2 linked regions of the Lepisosteus oculatus genome follow. The protein of the gene in region 2 interacts with the protein of the main gene of each other region in a pairwise test. Links are inferred from orthologs where the notes say so. Each region holds a gene or a part of one and is shown on either strand. Other genes may lie near its edges.

Region 1 (7,075 bases), on a different chromosome or scaffold from region 2:
TATATGAGTCCTTTGTGAATAAAGCCTTTCTAAAGAGTGAAATCTTTACTTGCAATGCCATTTAATTTAAAACCATGGATGTAAATGCTGTACTCTGTGTCTCATAATGGCTTATCTTCATTTGTGCTGTTCAGGTATTTTCACAAGAACTGCATGCTTTTGTGTTTGCAAATATAACATAAAAAAGAACACGATCTGAAATGAATAATAAGATTTTCTGTATAGACCATGTCACAAAATCTTAAATTCATAGGCAATGGTTTTCCCTGTGGGCATTGAATGGGCAAGTAGGCACATCTAATTCATTCTATTATGGAGGGAAATCTGGCCACACTTTGGTCACAGGGAGAATAAAGAGCTTGTTTTCAAGTAATGTTTCAGTTAATGTACAGTATTTTTTTCTAATAAGATAACAGTGTACTATTTATTATTACGAACATAAGAAATGAGAGGGGGTTACCCAGTTGTCATTGCTAACTGATCAAAGGGTCTTGTTATCTTTATCTTATATTTTCTCGAAAAAAGCTCAGAGTAACATCTTACAGTATCCCACAAACCCTTGTGGGTAAAAACTTACATTTCTTCTTAGTTTCCACTTTTGTTATGTGATTACCATTTCTGTGTTGATTCTGAACAAACCCATTTTGGGATTTAAAATACTTTAATCAGGTCATGTCATACACCAGCCAGCAGTTACAGTATATCACTTTGCAGCTCTCAACTGGCTACCTGCTGAAGCTCAGCAGGGCTGAGCCTGGTCAGTTCCTTGCTGGGAGACATCCTGGGAAGCTATGGTTTCTGTGGGAAGTGGTGTTAATGGGACCAGTGGGGGGTGCTCACCCTGCGGTCTGTGTGGCTCCTAATGCCCTGATATAGTGGTGGGGACACTATACTATACTGTACTGTAGTGGGCACTGTCTTATGGATGGAAAGTTAAACTGAGGTCCTGGCTCTCAGTGGTCATTAAAGATCACTGGGCATTTCTCAATAAAAGTAGGGCCTTTTCTGTGGCCTCTGAATTGTCCCCATGTATGATTGGCTTGCACTTACCCTGCGATGGACTGGCACCCTGTTCAGGATGTGCCCTGCCTTGTGCTCGTAGGCTCCGGCTTCCTGTGACACCATATGGTATAGCGCGGATGGCAAATGACATACCATACACCTCTCTTTTCATGATTAAAAAGATTTGTTTCTTTTAGCCTGTCACTAACATTCCTTTATGCCTAGGAATATATCTGGTCACTCTTCTTTGAAGTGTTCAAAGAGCAGCAATTTTAATTTTTGCAATGTTGTGATGAAACTTGTGCATAATATTCTAGAAGACAGTTTCCTAGACATTGTACAATTTTAAGATCAATAAGAAAATAACACATTTTTGACTAAATGCTTAACTTCTAATTATATATTCTAACATATTATTTTCATTTTTAATTGCTTCCCCACAAAACGATACACAAATTGTCAAATACAGCTCAGAGCCCTGTTCCTTCCTGATTCTATTGTCAAGTATTGCAATAAGAATGAACAGTTTTCTGTTCTTAAATGACTCTTGGAGATAAGTGCTTGTGTGTCATTGCATCAGATTGTCACTGCAGTAAGCGGACAATTAAAAAATACGGAGCACAAAAATGTAAACTGTAGAGGAAAATATCCATAGGAGAAATGTCTGATGTACAATTTATTTTCCTTCATTTATCTTCTTGCATTCATTCATTTTCAAACCGCTTCTTCAAATTCAGGGTTGGGGAGGGGGGGCTGAAGCCTATCCCAGCAAGCAATGGGCACAAGACAGGATACAGTGTTAATGGGACAGCAGTCCATCACAATGCATGCAGACACAAACATACACACACACACTCCAGGGCCAGTTTTCCCAGAAGCCTATTAACTTAAAAATATGTTTTTGTTTTTGGATAAACATATTGCCTGATGATGCAGACAATATTTCCACTGTACTTCTAAATAAAATCATACACAGTCATATTCACAAGCTATAACCTCTGCTACTGTTTTGGCATCCAATAATACGTAATACTGTGGAATTTAGCATAGGTGACTTGTGCTCCAGGAGCTGCCAACTGCACACAGAGGAAGATTCAATTTTATTGAGGTCATGGTATAAAGAATGTCATTATTCCTTGACATGCAGCTTTTTACCAAGAGTACATGCCAAACACGAAGGACATTCTCCATTAAAATACATTGATCATTTATGACTTTTTAATGTGCTGGGTAAGGTATTTCACTGTAGGTGCCATGACATCTCACAGCTTGCTTAATGTGCTAACTGACATAATGCTTAAGAACATGAACTGTACCCGCAACATTCCTGTCAGTACAATACAAGCAATGCTTGCAGAAAACAAGCACTGGAGTAGTGGTTAGGGTGTGGGATTTGTGATAGGATGGTTCTGTGGACAAATCGTGGGTGAGGCACTGTCATTGTCCCCATGAATAAGGTACTTCACTCAGTCAACTTCAGTACGATTCCCCAGTTTCTGCATATAATACATCCATTTTCTAACTGCTTTATTTTTTTTTCTTATAAAATATACTTTATTCCGAAAAAAAGGAGACATCTCACGCATGTTAACACTCCACGTAATAAAAACAATGGCGGAACGGCGGCGATTGTCCGTTATCAATCATTGCAAGTGTGGGTGGATTTGCGCTATTATGAGAGTCCCTCCAAACCCTACCACTTGCTGTTGTCCATTAATCCCTGTACAGGGTCCAAAGTCCTTTCCAGCGCTCCCTCGCTGTGGGGAAACCCCATTTGGCAACGTCGCGCTTCATCCTCCTCCTGAGGTCCGCCAGGATCCTCTCCTCCAGCTCCCTTGCTCCCCACTTGACATTGTGCCGGATGAGATTGTTCCTCGTGTCCCACAGGCCTTTTTTTTGTCCCACAGGGACAGCAGCAGCCACATCAGGAACTGTGTCCCCTTGTCTAATCCGGTAGGTGCCAGCCCCTGTTTTATAGAAGAAAGGCTCGGGGGAGCAGAGCCTGAGCCTATCCCTCAAGCAGAGGGCACCAGGCAGGATACACCCTGGATGAGACACCAGTCCATGGTAGAGCACCAACACAGACACATTCACAGCACCAGGGCCAATTTCATAGAATACCAGTATGTTTTTGGACTGTGGAAAGAAATCAGAGCACCCAGAGGAAACCTCTTGCAAACACAGGGAGAACATACAAACTCCACACAGGTAGCAATGCAGGAATTGAACCCAGGGCCTTAGTACTGCTAATCAGAAAAGCAGCAAGGCTAACCATTGCGCCACCGAACCCTAGACGTAAGTCATTTTGGATAAAAGTGTCAGTGTAGTTTAATAAACATTATTTTCCAGGTTAGTTCCTAGTAGATATTTGGAACCAAATAGACTCAATGGGTTGAAGGGCCTTTATTAGCAAAGGTTATTATAATTAACAACTTTTAGTATGTTCTTATGGCTCACACTTACGCGTATTAGACAAAGTTTAAATTAATGACCAACTTCCATATTCATGAGCACTCACAGAAAACATTTTATCTAACACATTCGTCCTAACATTCAGTAGTAAAGAGTGATACCTGAATAGAGGTCCTGTGAAACTCCAGTGATACCTTACAAAAACGTGGAACACACCACGTAACAACGTGTAATAAACACTGCTCATTAAAATGTACTTATGTGACAATCTCATCTCTTCTAAATTTATTGAGCACTCAGGTAAACAAAATAAGCCCTAAATAAGTACTTTGACGTTTTTCAAGTTTTTCTGCAAAAAGTTAACCCTTTCAACGGAACAGTCTTAGTTTCGGGTGTCAGCTTCAACTGCACGGTAAGGTAGGGTGTTCCATCCAGTCACAGGCTTTTTGTTACATTTAGTTTTATTACGTTCGTCTCTCCCCCACCCGCAGCAAGCACAAGCAAGGGCAACACAAAAGCTACACAATTTTACTCGTAAGGGGGCGATAGATCGCTCTCCTCTCAGACCCAGTCTTCCTGACAGCCTCCGAGACCACACCCTTTAAAGCGTTAACGGGGTTCAGTTCAAACGTAAGCGGCATAGGCCTTCCCCCCACGGCTGGGCACGCCCCGTGCTCTGCGTTAGCTCCCCGCAGTGTCGGCGGACCCAAGGTTTCTCTTATTCAGTCGCTTCAGTGCTGCGCTAGCAAGTACCTTAGCCGGGACTTGAGTTCATTAAGTACAGACATGGCACTGCTGGATCTGGCCCTGCAGGGACTCGCTATCTTCGGATTCATCCTTTTCGTCGTTCTGTGGCTCATGCATTTCATGTCCATCATCTATGTGTAAGCCAGGCCCTTTTTTACTTATATATATTTTCCAGTACTTGACTGTGGGTGTGTTGATGTGTTTTTTTTTTTGCCACCTCCGGTGTTCAAGTGTTACAGGCTCGAGTGCGCCGCAAATCTTTTGACTTCAGACCGCCTGACAAAGGCCTGTCTGTACTCTTAGCCGCCAAACTGGTAGTAGGTCCTCGGGGTTTGGGCATTTCGCTTTATTGATTATTCATGGCGAGAATGAAAGAGACCTCATGTATCTTGCAGAACAGCTGACGTTCAAGTGGGGAAGGAAGCGGGGCACGGCAGGGTCAGGGGGAGCTTGGGTCCCCTCAATTTGTGGCAGCTCGCTTTGTGATAAAGAGCCCCTGTCTCGCAGGGCTTCGGCGTCTGGTAGTTGGTAAAACCGTGAAGGCTAATCGTGGCGGAACAGGCAACCGTGCGTTTTGGCTTGTTTACGAAATGCGTTTGAACAATGGACCGGTGCCATAGCGCCGAGCCTGCGGTGTCTCTGCGCTCGGACTTCAGTGTAACCAGGAAACCGGACAGCACGGGCTGTCCAGTCCCATCGCCGTGCAAATCAGGTGCCTGTCAGACTTGCACCAGAGCGAGAGGAGAGGTGTGCTAACACCTAGGGTAGTAAAGCTAAACACCGCAATTGGTGAAAACATCAGAATGGTGCTAGTCTGTTGCTTTTTATTCATCAGCTTTAACAAATATCATTAAGATCTGGTTCTGCTGTGATTACATATTCTCATTCACCTATAGAGGGTAAAGCAAGCGGATGTGCTCGATAGCCGGGTTTCCCTGAGAACACGCCACCCAGATGAAGGTGAATAATAGGGATTTTTCTAATTAACTGGTTAGATTCCCAGCGAAATACTCAGTGATTTTTTTATTGGGGGGGTAAAGCGTCCTTGAAGGATTTATAAGGTCGTTTGCTTAATCCGGCTGTGAAATGTCATTGATAAAGCTGACCCGGTGTTCCGGTGCCGATTGAGTCGAGGCGACATGAGTGCTTAACTGCAAAATATAAATATCTGACGTCTGTAGAATTACGGGAATTAAATTTCCATATTCTCTATATTTATTTCCATACGTACAGCACCCACCCCAAGCAATTTCTGGTCTGACAACTCAGTGCGTCATTATAGATAACCGACATGTTTTCATTTATGCCATCGGAACATTTAAGATGTTCGTCAAAGTAGTAGTCTAGCAGTAGGCTGGTGTGTTTTGCAGTTCCTGGCTTTTGATTCTGACGTCGATCAGCTCTTAGGCTTTTACTCATGACAATGTCATGTGAGCCCAGCTGATCTCCAGGAATTCCACTACCCACTGTCTTGCTGTAATCTAAGAGATATCGCACTGTGTTGAAATTAAAAACAATAAGAAAATGTTTCCGTTGAAGGAGTAAAAATGTGTGTGACTTTCACTCCCCCAACCCCCTCACGAAGGTTTTGAAATTTCCAGAGGACGTGACTCGTTTTGATACAGTAGTCTTTGCTCAACCTGTTTTTGCCTGAGAAACAGTGCACTTTACATGTTTTCTTGAGATGTGTAGAGTGCTCGGTAAATGTCGTGACTGTTTGCTTTGAAAGGCTACTCAGCTGATCATTTTGTTTCTATTCGGTACACTATCAATTACTCCGAAACTTTTTCCTACACAGGCAGAATCCAGTTAGTTCTTAGTGTCTTCATATGTGGGGGTTTGTACATCTACCACAGAGTTCAAAGAAACACTTTGAAGACACAGGAAAATTATGCATTTTTCCCCCTCTGGTATAGCCTCAAAACAAATTCTTTCCTGTCACTTTTTAGCAGTAAGTAATTAGTCTTTCTTTTTCACATGGTGCAGTTGGCCTCTTCCCTAGTAGTTATAGGTTGGGAGTGAATTCTGTCAAGTCCCTTTCTCCAAGTGCTTGGCAAGCAGAACATAAATACAGTATATGAATTGGAGGTTTCCTTTTTTAGCTGCTGTTTGCAAGTAGGTGGACTGCATTGCAAGCCTGGACTGTTCATTTCAAACAGCCCCAGTGAAACGCGATATCTGAGCACTTATGATGCATTAGCTGCTGCATACTGCATTATAGCCATCACCGTCTTGAAATTAAGCCCCTCGTTATGTACATCCGAATTGCCGTTTCAGATGAGGAGAGCCTAAATTTCATGCCGTGCTGAAGTATTTTGAAAAGTAAAAGGGCACGCAGAATGACGCTGATCTGATTTCCGTGACTTACATTTCTTCTTTTTTCTTAACTCACTGGATTAAAAGGGACCGTAATGTAACCATTCATGTGTCACTGTAAGGTAATTCACGGCAACCCGTTTTTAATGCAACCCTGAAATTTAAGGCACCCATGATAGAGTCCAGCCATGGTAGAGTTAGAGCCGTTTCCCGCGTGGGAGGAACTCATTGCCTCTCATGCTTTTGCTAGGCTTCTATGTCGCTCGCAATGCAGTGACAGCCGGGTTACCTGATAGTTTCTGAGTGGGAGGAATTTTGGACTGGCTTTAAATGGGCTCTTGAATGCAACTTTTTTTGTCTGTCTCTAACTGCCCCGGACTTTAAGGCCTCCTCCCACCTTTTGCTACTTTGTCGTTCTCCCTCGTCGTTGGGCACTTATGCCAAGGTGTCCAGTTCACACTGACCCAAGTGTTGGGAGTCCGTCTTTCCAATTCAAGAACAATATTGACCCAGACTTTCGTATTATTTGCTAAATCAGTCCTTTGTAGCGTTTTTGCAATGTAGTTTTCAGTTGGCGGTTTTAAAAGGTTCACATTCT
Region 2 (7,545 bases):
TTATGAGCTACAAGGTACAGTATATAGAAGATGTTTCATAATCCTTCTAATATATGAAAATAGATTGAAACTATTACTTTCTAGCACTTTTTTCTTTCTCTCACTGGTGGCAAACTTCTAACCAAATGCTAGTTTTCTAGCAAAAATCTTTATTTGAGAGTATCAGTATCCTAATTAGTAATGGTTGTCCAAATAAAACTGATTTATACAATATGAATATAAATCATTGAACGTATACTCAAACTGTAAAGATAATTTAAAACGTGAACATACTGCTCATTTGTATTTCTTACATCCATAGATTAATTGTAAAAGTCTGAACAACAAATAGTGAAGCACTACAATATAAATGTATAATTTATTGTTCATAACATACCAATTTTCTCAATTGCATTGCCAGCAACATTCAGCTCTCTCAAATTTTTGAGTGTATTTAGTCCCTGTAAACAAACAACATGGAGGAAAAAAAGTTAGCAACGTGCATGTAAAGAAGGAGATTTTTTTATTATTTGTCTTAAGTGGCAAAACGTAACCATTTCCACAAGAAAAAATAATTTAATTTGTATTTTTGTGGAAAATTATCAGTAGAAGTACAATAACAAATAAAGGTGCCAAGGTGTGGGATACCTCAATAACAGTGATAAGGTTGTTGTTCAGCCAAAGAACCTCTAGGTTCTCCAGCATCTCCAAGTTCCCAATCTTAGTGATTTTATTGTCGTATAGGAAGAGCTTCTTTAACTGCAGACAGGCTTGGAGGCCACCAATCTCCTTTGTGGAAACAAAGACAAAAAGGAGTGAATCACGAAAGCGTTTAGTTAGAATTTTGTAACACACACAGAACGCTTGTCCTTGCAGATAAGAAATGAACAATATCTGATGTACAAACAGAGTGACTGGTCTTACAATGGCGGCAGTAGAATTACCATGCCTGTTTACTTGCTTGTTAGGATTCTGATCAAGTACAAAACATATATTTTTTTGCACTAAGCCTACAAGGTGCGTCTGACAAAGTCAGTGCTTCATTCCACGGCTGATCTCCATCCGTTTTGGCGCCGACAGTAATATACTTAAAAACTAGAGGCATTAAAAAAAACAGGAAAAAAAATTGAATCGTCTCACAGTCAGCTGACATTCAACGATCCACAGCTCCTGGAGCAGGGGGCAAGAGTCCAGGCCCTCAATCCTCCCCACGCCCTGCCCCACGACAGTCAGCTGGGACAGGCGGGGGAAGAGGTGAAGCCCCACCATGCGGGGGTACCCCGAGAAGAACATCTCCAGAGCCAGGACATTGCCCCCTTCCGCGGACACCTTTTCATAGGACAGCCCATTGGCGGCACACTGTGAATGACAGGAGCAGCCCAGTTTGGTCAGATCCAGTGACTCGACATAAGCTGAATGTGTACTCTCACGCCGAGGACCATCCCAAACAGCTTCCCAGGAGTGGAACCCTGCGCGACTGCATGTTTTCGCAAAGGCACGGGAAACAGATGCCAGAGTTACTGCAAAGTATAGAAAACAACTCTGCCTCACCAGCTCTTTGATGACTTCTTCATCTCCATTTGCTTTTTGCTTGTCATTTTGTGTCATACTTTTGTCCTCCCCGCTTGGAACACTTTGATGGGAGGGCAGTTACAACATGACGGAGCTGGAAATGCAAAAGCCACAGTACAAAAAGTCTAAGAAACTTTGGAAAAGGTTTCTAGAAAAGGAAAATAACCTTCACGTTGTCACACAACTTTTAACCCTGCGAGATACATTATTTAAGCCTCAGAAACAAAAAAGAATCTCAAAATCTGTTTAACTCAGATGATCATTCTATTTTTTTGATTTTCCTCCCAATTTTGTCATTAGGGGCTGAACCTTCTGCTTCTTGGAGCCCTTTCCTGTATGGATTGTAAAAGACTTCAAAACCTTTTATTCATATTTTGATTTATTTTTCCTGCATCACTGACCAGCCCAAACAGAGGACAAAGCAAAAGGAAGAACTGTGGACGAATGCCCCATCCCCACTGTGCTTCATCCTGTCTTGCACAGGCTGGTTCTGTCGGGGTGGCATTTGAGCAGGGCCATTGTGCGGTACACACTGAAGCAATTGGCTCTACATTGTTTCAATCTCTTATTGTGTCCCCAGGCTCTTAGACTTCACTCATTGCTTTGCTCAGTTCCACTTAGGCTACCCCACAGTGCAATGCAGTATTCACAATTTCACAATACTCCTGCACCTTATTTCATTATTCTCTTCAGCAGTTTTAGTTTGCACTCAGGACAACTGGATTCCCCTGCTCTCTGTTTCTTTGTTCTCATTTTTATTTAAAGCGGACAAGAGGATCTACTTTAAAACTGAAAAAAGGCAAACAAATGAATCCACTGACCCGTTTATTTTGGGGGGAAACTGATAAAAGCTGGTCACGAATACCCACTTTGCAAATTAGTGTACCTTTAAAAAAATCGGCGATGCTTATATTACCAGTATTATTCGCCAAACTGTACTTGAAAACGTAGTGTACTAAAGCGGAATGTGTAGCTAACTAGCAAGATGTGGACAGAAAGTAGCTAAGAATGTTCCGTCTTAATTTCTGGAGATTTAAAGCTAATAAATGGACATAAAAACATATGACTTTATAACCCAGGCAAAGTAATGTAAACTGCCTTGATATTGCTACGGCTATACCTGGTCAAGTTCTAAATGTTTAGTAGCTATTACATTATTTAGAAAAATTACAGAGGAATGCTTACCCTTTTTGAAATTGCAGTTAGTATTTACTCCGTTTTCTTAAATACATTGAAAACAGCTCTTTTGTGTTGCATTTCTGGTAGTTGTAATTATTTACGCCGTTTCCAAGGAACCTGTGCGTCCCCGTTGCTCGGGAGCCATCTTGAATCCTCAATAAGAGACAATTCGTGACAGACCAGCGGTATGCGCTGTTTACTTGTTCAGGTTGGGGGGTGGTTTTCTTTCTTTAGTTTATCATTACTCACAGTGCCAGTAAGTGAAAGTGTTTGCCACTGTTAAGTATCATTGACAATTAAGTTTCGGTGTACGTATTATTAAAAGCATATAATTACACAACAATTCTATTTTTATGTAAGAAACATGATTGAAGTTTCCCAGATATTTGCTCAATAACCAATAAATGAAGTTTCCAACTAAAACCAGATATAATTACTTTAATGGCTGCAGCATTTCACGGCCCCTGTCAAATATATTGGAAGTATTTTGTATTGGAGTATTTGCTCTCTTCTGTTACAGACTAAGCATTTTATCTACCAGCAATGTTTATGTAACAGTATTAAAAGTGATCGGGCGCAAACCCGCAGTGGTATTTTTGTGAGTCTGTGTGGAATGTTTACGTTGTTTTGTCTTTTGATTTTGCTGTTGGTAAAATACACAGAGACAAAATCTTTTGGGCGAGGGGGAATACGGTACAGTATTTTGAGACGTCTGTGAGATTTGGGCTTGACTGCTCTCCTCAGGTGAGATGCTCCCGTGCAAATGTAAAAACAAAACACTCAACTGAGACTAGCTGTTTGAGGGCCCATGTGGAGTCCAGTAGGCTCCCTACAGAGTGTACAAACATGAATTTCCCAGCTGTTATCTTCGATCCCCACAAGATGCCGCTGTAGAGCTTGCATCGTCCCATGCAATCACGAGCACACACCCAAAAATTGCTGGAAAAAGGGAGCTGGGCTTTCCGGCAAATTCCAGCTACGTTTCTGGAAATCTGCATGAAAAAGTTCGTGCGCATCTCTAAGGAACCCCGCAACACGGGTTCTCGGCTATGCTTTGAAATTCCGACTTATTTCTTGGTTACTCTTCAATACAGAAAACCAGACCTTCGTCATTTCAATGATTTTTTAAATTAAATAACTACGACGACTTCCGATCCCAGCACACATCATATTTGCCGCCTGCCTCCGAATCGAAACTCACAGTTAACGCGTTTCAGTTTTTTTTTATAAGCCTGCTTATATCGGGAGGAGATGATAAAGTTGTCGTCACATATCTGTTCTGCGCCCATCACCTTTTTTTTTTTTACTTCTAACAATACCACATCCATACAGTTGTGAATGGAACTTGGGGTTGTTGTTGTTTTTTTTTAAAGAAAAACGATTAAAATGCAGTTAGCCCACACGCATATAAAGCGGTTTGAGGTAACTTGCAGAAAGACTTCGACCCAAGGAGAGAACTCTTAATTCGATCGGCTCCATCCTCTCCAGATGCAGCAGTGCAACACAGCGCACGGCTCTCCTTACGCCAAACGGTTAACAGACTGTTACTTTCCGTCCTAAATCCGTGCCTACCATAAGCCACAGATAGGGTGACGTCAGTGTCGAAACACTGAACTAAACAAGCCATTTTCACATGCGTAATGCTCGAGTAGAGTGCAAACCAGCGCTAAGACATTCACTAACAACTGCTGGCGTGCGGCACCCGTTTCGGCAGAGTGATTTATTTTTTTTCCTCCCCCTCTTCCTCCTCCTCCTCCTCTCCCTCCCGTCCGTCCGTCCGTCCGTCCTCGACCCAGCTCTTTTCTTCGTTGTGAGGTCTCACACACACACCCCACCAAGCCGGCATGTCTGCGAAGCCCAGCGAGGAGCCTGGTTCGGAGGGGACGTGGTTCGGGGAGGACCTCGACCAGCCCGACCGCTGCGGGGGGACCGTGCCCCGGTTCGGCGGGGCGGGTGCGGACCCGGGGGTGGACCAGAAGCAGGAGATCTGGAAGGATGATGCCAGCGAGCAGAAACAGCCACAGCAACCTGACGGCAGCCGGCAACAACCCCTTGTTGCCATGGAAACTGCATCTACAGGTAAAGGCTGGATGCAGGAAAACATACTACGTGCTCAAAGCCAATTAGCCGGACAGTGCAATGTGTGGTATATATATATATGTGTGTGTAGTTGAGTTTTTCAATGGCCTTTATATTTTAATGTTAAATATGACACGGATCTACAGCAGGCATTCTTCCTAGGGAAGTTAAAAAAGTGAACAAAAGACATTCGCCCGGGCACCTCTTGTCTAATAGAGGAGCTGTTTTATGGCGCTAACGTTATTTCGTAAAAGTTAACTCGTCCGCACTTGAATCGTACCGTCGCGTTGAGTATTTTTAGTCAGGAGAAATGCGGCTTGCGTTTTCGAAACAGAAAGGGAATGTTTGATTTTTTTAGAAAGTCTTTTTAGAAAATGGCTGTCGTGCTCTCCAGTAAGTTTCACGATTTAAGGTGGTGGGTCTAGCCCGTCACGGCAAAAAAAAAAAATCGTAAAGTTGCGGTGTTTTCACCGTATAACAAAGTTTCTTATTTAAGGTGTCAGCAGTTTTCCGTTGCATTTCAGACCGCGTTTTTCTCAGATATTCTCAAACCTCCATTAGTATTGGAATCTGTGAGGTAAACGGATACAGGGAGAGAAAATATGATGACTAATAATCGTGGCCTAAACACGATTATTAATAATGTTTGTATTTGTCTTTTCTTCAAGCTCGAGTTATCACTCAGTGATGTGGAAATGCAGACGGCTGCTCACAATAAATCATCATCATAATTGTGTTTGCGTCGTGCCACCTCAAGATCTTTAGTTTTCGCCTGTCGGGGGCGGGGAGGGAAAGTTTTCCCACGGCGAGGTGACACGGATTTGCGGCGTCCTGCGAGATTTTGAAGGGAACGGATGCAGTGAGTCCAGTTGTGCGTGGCAGGGCGTGTGTGAGCGTGGTTTCTCGGCTTATTGTGTGAGCTTGCAGCCCGGGTTTGGATAGGAGGTTCCTTAGAGTAGCGGCCCTGCCAGAGGGTGGAAAGTTCTTGACGGTCAGTCGGACGCAGCTCTCCTCATTTTAAAAAAGGATTGGCCTTTTATTATGAACCTGGATTATCATTTTAAAGGCTCACAGGTCGGTCAGAGACACTCGGCGTGTCGGGACCCGGTTCGTCAGACCTGGGCTTCCAGTGTGCATTAAGAAGTGCCTTTTAATTAACATCCCATTCCTGAGTGGCAAATAGCTGCAGAAAAGATGATGTGACATCAACGTTTTTTTTTTTAATTTTACAAGCCCAGTCATTTGCTAAGTTTGTTCATCTATGATGTGGGCACAATGAACCAACTGACAAAAACTAACAATAAAGGTTTCTAAAGAAATGTCTCCGTTTTTAAACCAGAGCTTGTTTTGTTCTATGAGGATCTGCATCACAAATAAAAGGAACAGGAGCTTTTAAAGTGCATTAACCGAATCCCTTTGAATTATTCAGTCACATATAGCACAGTATATTCTTGAATGAAGTCCTGTAGATTTTTTCAGGTCCCCGTGTCATCTTCCTTCATTTTAGTTTTCTTAATTTCACAATTCTTTGAAATCGCAGTCCTGTGGCTTTCATTTTTCTAAGAAGGTCAAGAAATTATTAAAGAGGAAGCTTTAAAAATGGCACGCACATCCGCAGTCCTCAGTCCCAGTGCTAGTACAGATAAAATATGCAAGCAAATGGAAAAGTTGATGTAGCTGTGTCACAGCCCCCCTTGTCTTCTGTGAGACAGGGAATGGGAAAGGGCAGCAAGGAGGCTGGGACTCTTGGGTAAATATTTTGGTGTTTGGAAATATATCAGGTCAAAGGACAGAGAGCTCATAATAGTGGAGAGATCTTCCGGAGCTCTGCAAATATCCAAACACAGGAGGAAGTAGTAGCCTCCCACAGTTTCCTCCTTTGCAGAAAAGGATTATTTTAATTGTTTTGCTCAGAAGAGGAGTGTAGTGCCTTTGCTGTTGTTCTCCCAGAAAATAGTCGGACAAAAGCACTAGCTGACAGAAACAGCAGGGATGATGCCAGCCTTCTTCACCTGGCACCGAAATAAAGGTACACATAGTGGGCATGTTGAATTACCCAACCCTGACATATGTCTGTTTGTACGTTTGTTTGGACCTGACATCAATGAAAACCAGTAGCTGAAGCGGTTAGCTTATTCCTTGCTGGGAGCCTTAGTCTTAGGCATCTTTTTTGGGGGGCTAAGCTGTTATGCTGCGATGGAGTGGGGCCCCGTTTGGGGTGTACCCTGCCTTGCGCTTGTTTCCTGCTGGGTAGGGTTAGGGTTAATGACCAAAGTGGTTTGATAAATGACATGACATACACTGTTATGTATTGTAGTTACATGTTTTAAGAAATATGTAGTCATGAGAAATTTGACTTGTTTTTATTTGGTTATCTAAAATAGATTATTTTTTTATTGAGTATGATAAATTAGTAAACTTTTAGTAAACGTGTGATTTAGACTGTTCTAATGTGGGCATAGGTCATTATGTTTTATATAAGTCCAGCTCCAGCAACATGGCACAAATTAGTGCTTTCAGTCACTATAGCCTTCACTCAGCACGAATCTTGTCATTCTTACTTGACCACTTCAGAAGACTGAGGAGGAAAAAGGGATGTGAAAACATGCAGCACCTTGTACAGCCTACTAAATCATTCAATATGTTCCATTTTCATTTCTGCATTTTTTCTACGTCTGGTACAGCATTAAGGGTGACCACTAATAAGAGTCTCCTAAACGTCCACAGTTCCGGTAA

Evidence for each region. The genes of interacting proteins can lie anywhere in the genome.
Region 1: the proteins of rtn1a (region 2) and ugcg interact in a two-hybrid assay, tested with the Homo sapiens proteins (2 studies listed by BioGRID and IntAct). The link is inferred for Lepisosteus oculatus from reciprocal best matches to the Homo sapiens genes RTN1 and UGCG.

The regions. Positions count from the first base shown.
Region 1 is NC_090698.1:63,931,390-63,938,464, reverse strand, and holds the start of ugcg (ceramide glucosyltransferase), read left to right. Parts: upstream 1-4,039; 5' UTR 4,040-4,200; coding exon 4,201-4,298; intron 4,299-7,075. UniProt on the Homo sapiens protein: Participates in the initial step of the glucosylceramide-based glycosphingolipid/GSL synthetic pathway at the cytosolic surface of the Golgi.
Region 2 is NC_090703.1:7,146,557-7,154,101, reverse strand, and holds the start of rtn1a (reticulon-1a), read left to right. Parts: upstream 1-4,390; 5' UTR 4,391-4,574; coding exon 4,575-4,809; intron 4,810-5,575; exon of another isoform or gene 5,576-5,668; intron 5,669-7,545. Other genes in the region: lrrc9 (leucine-rich repeat-containing protein 9), read right to left, coding at 377-440, 628-768, 1,120-1,338, 1,531-1,587. UniProt on the Homo sapiens protein: Inhibits amyloid precursor protein processing, probably by blocking BACE1 activity.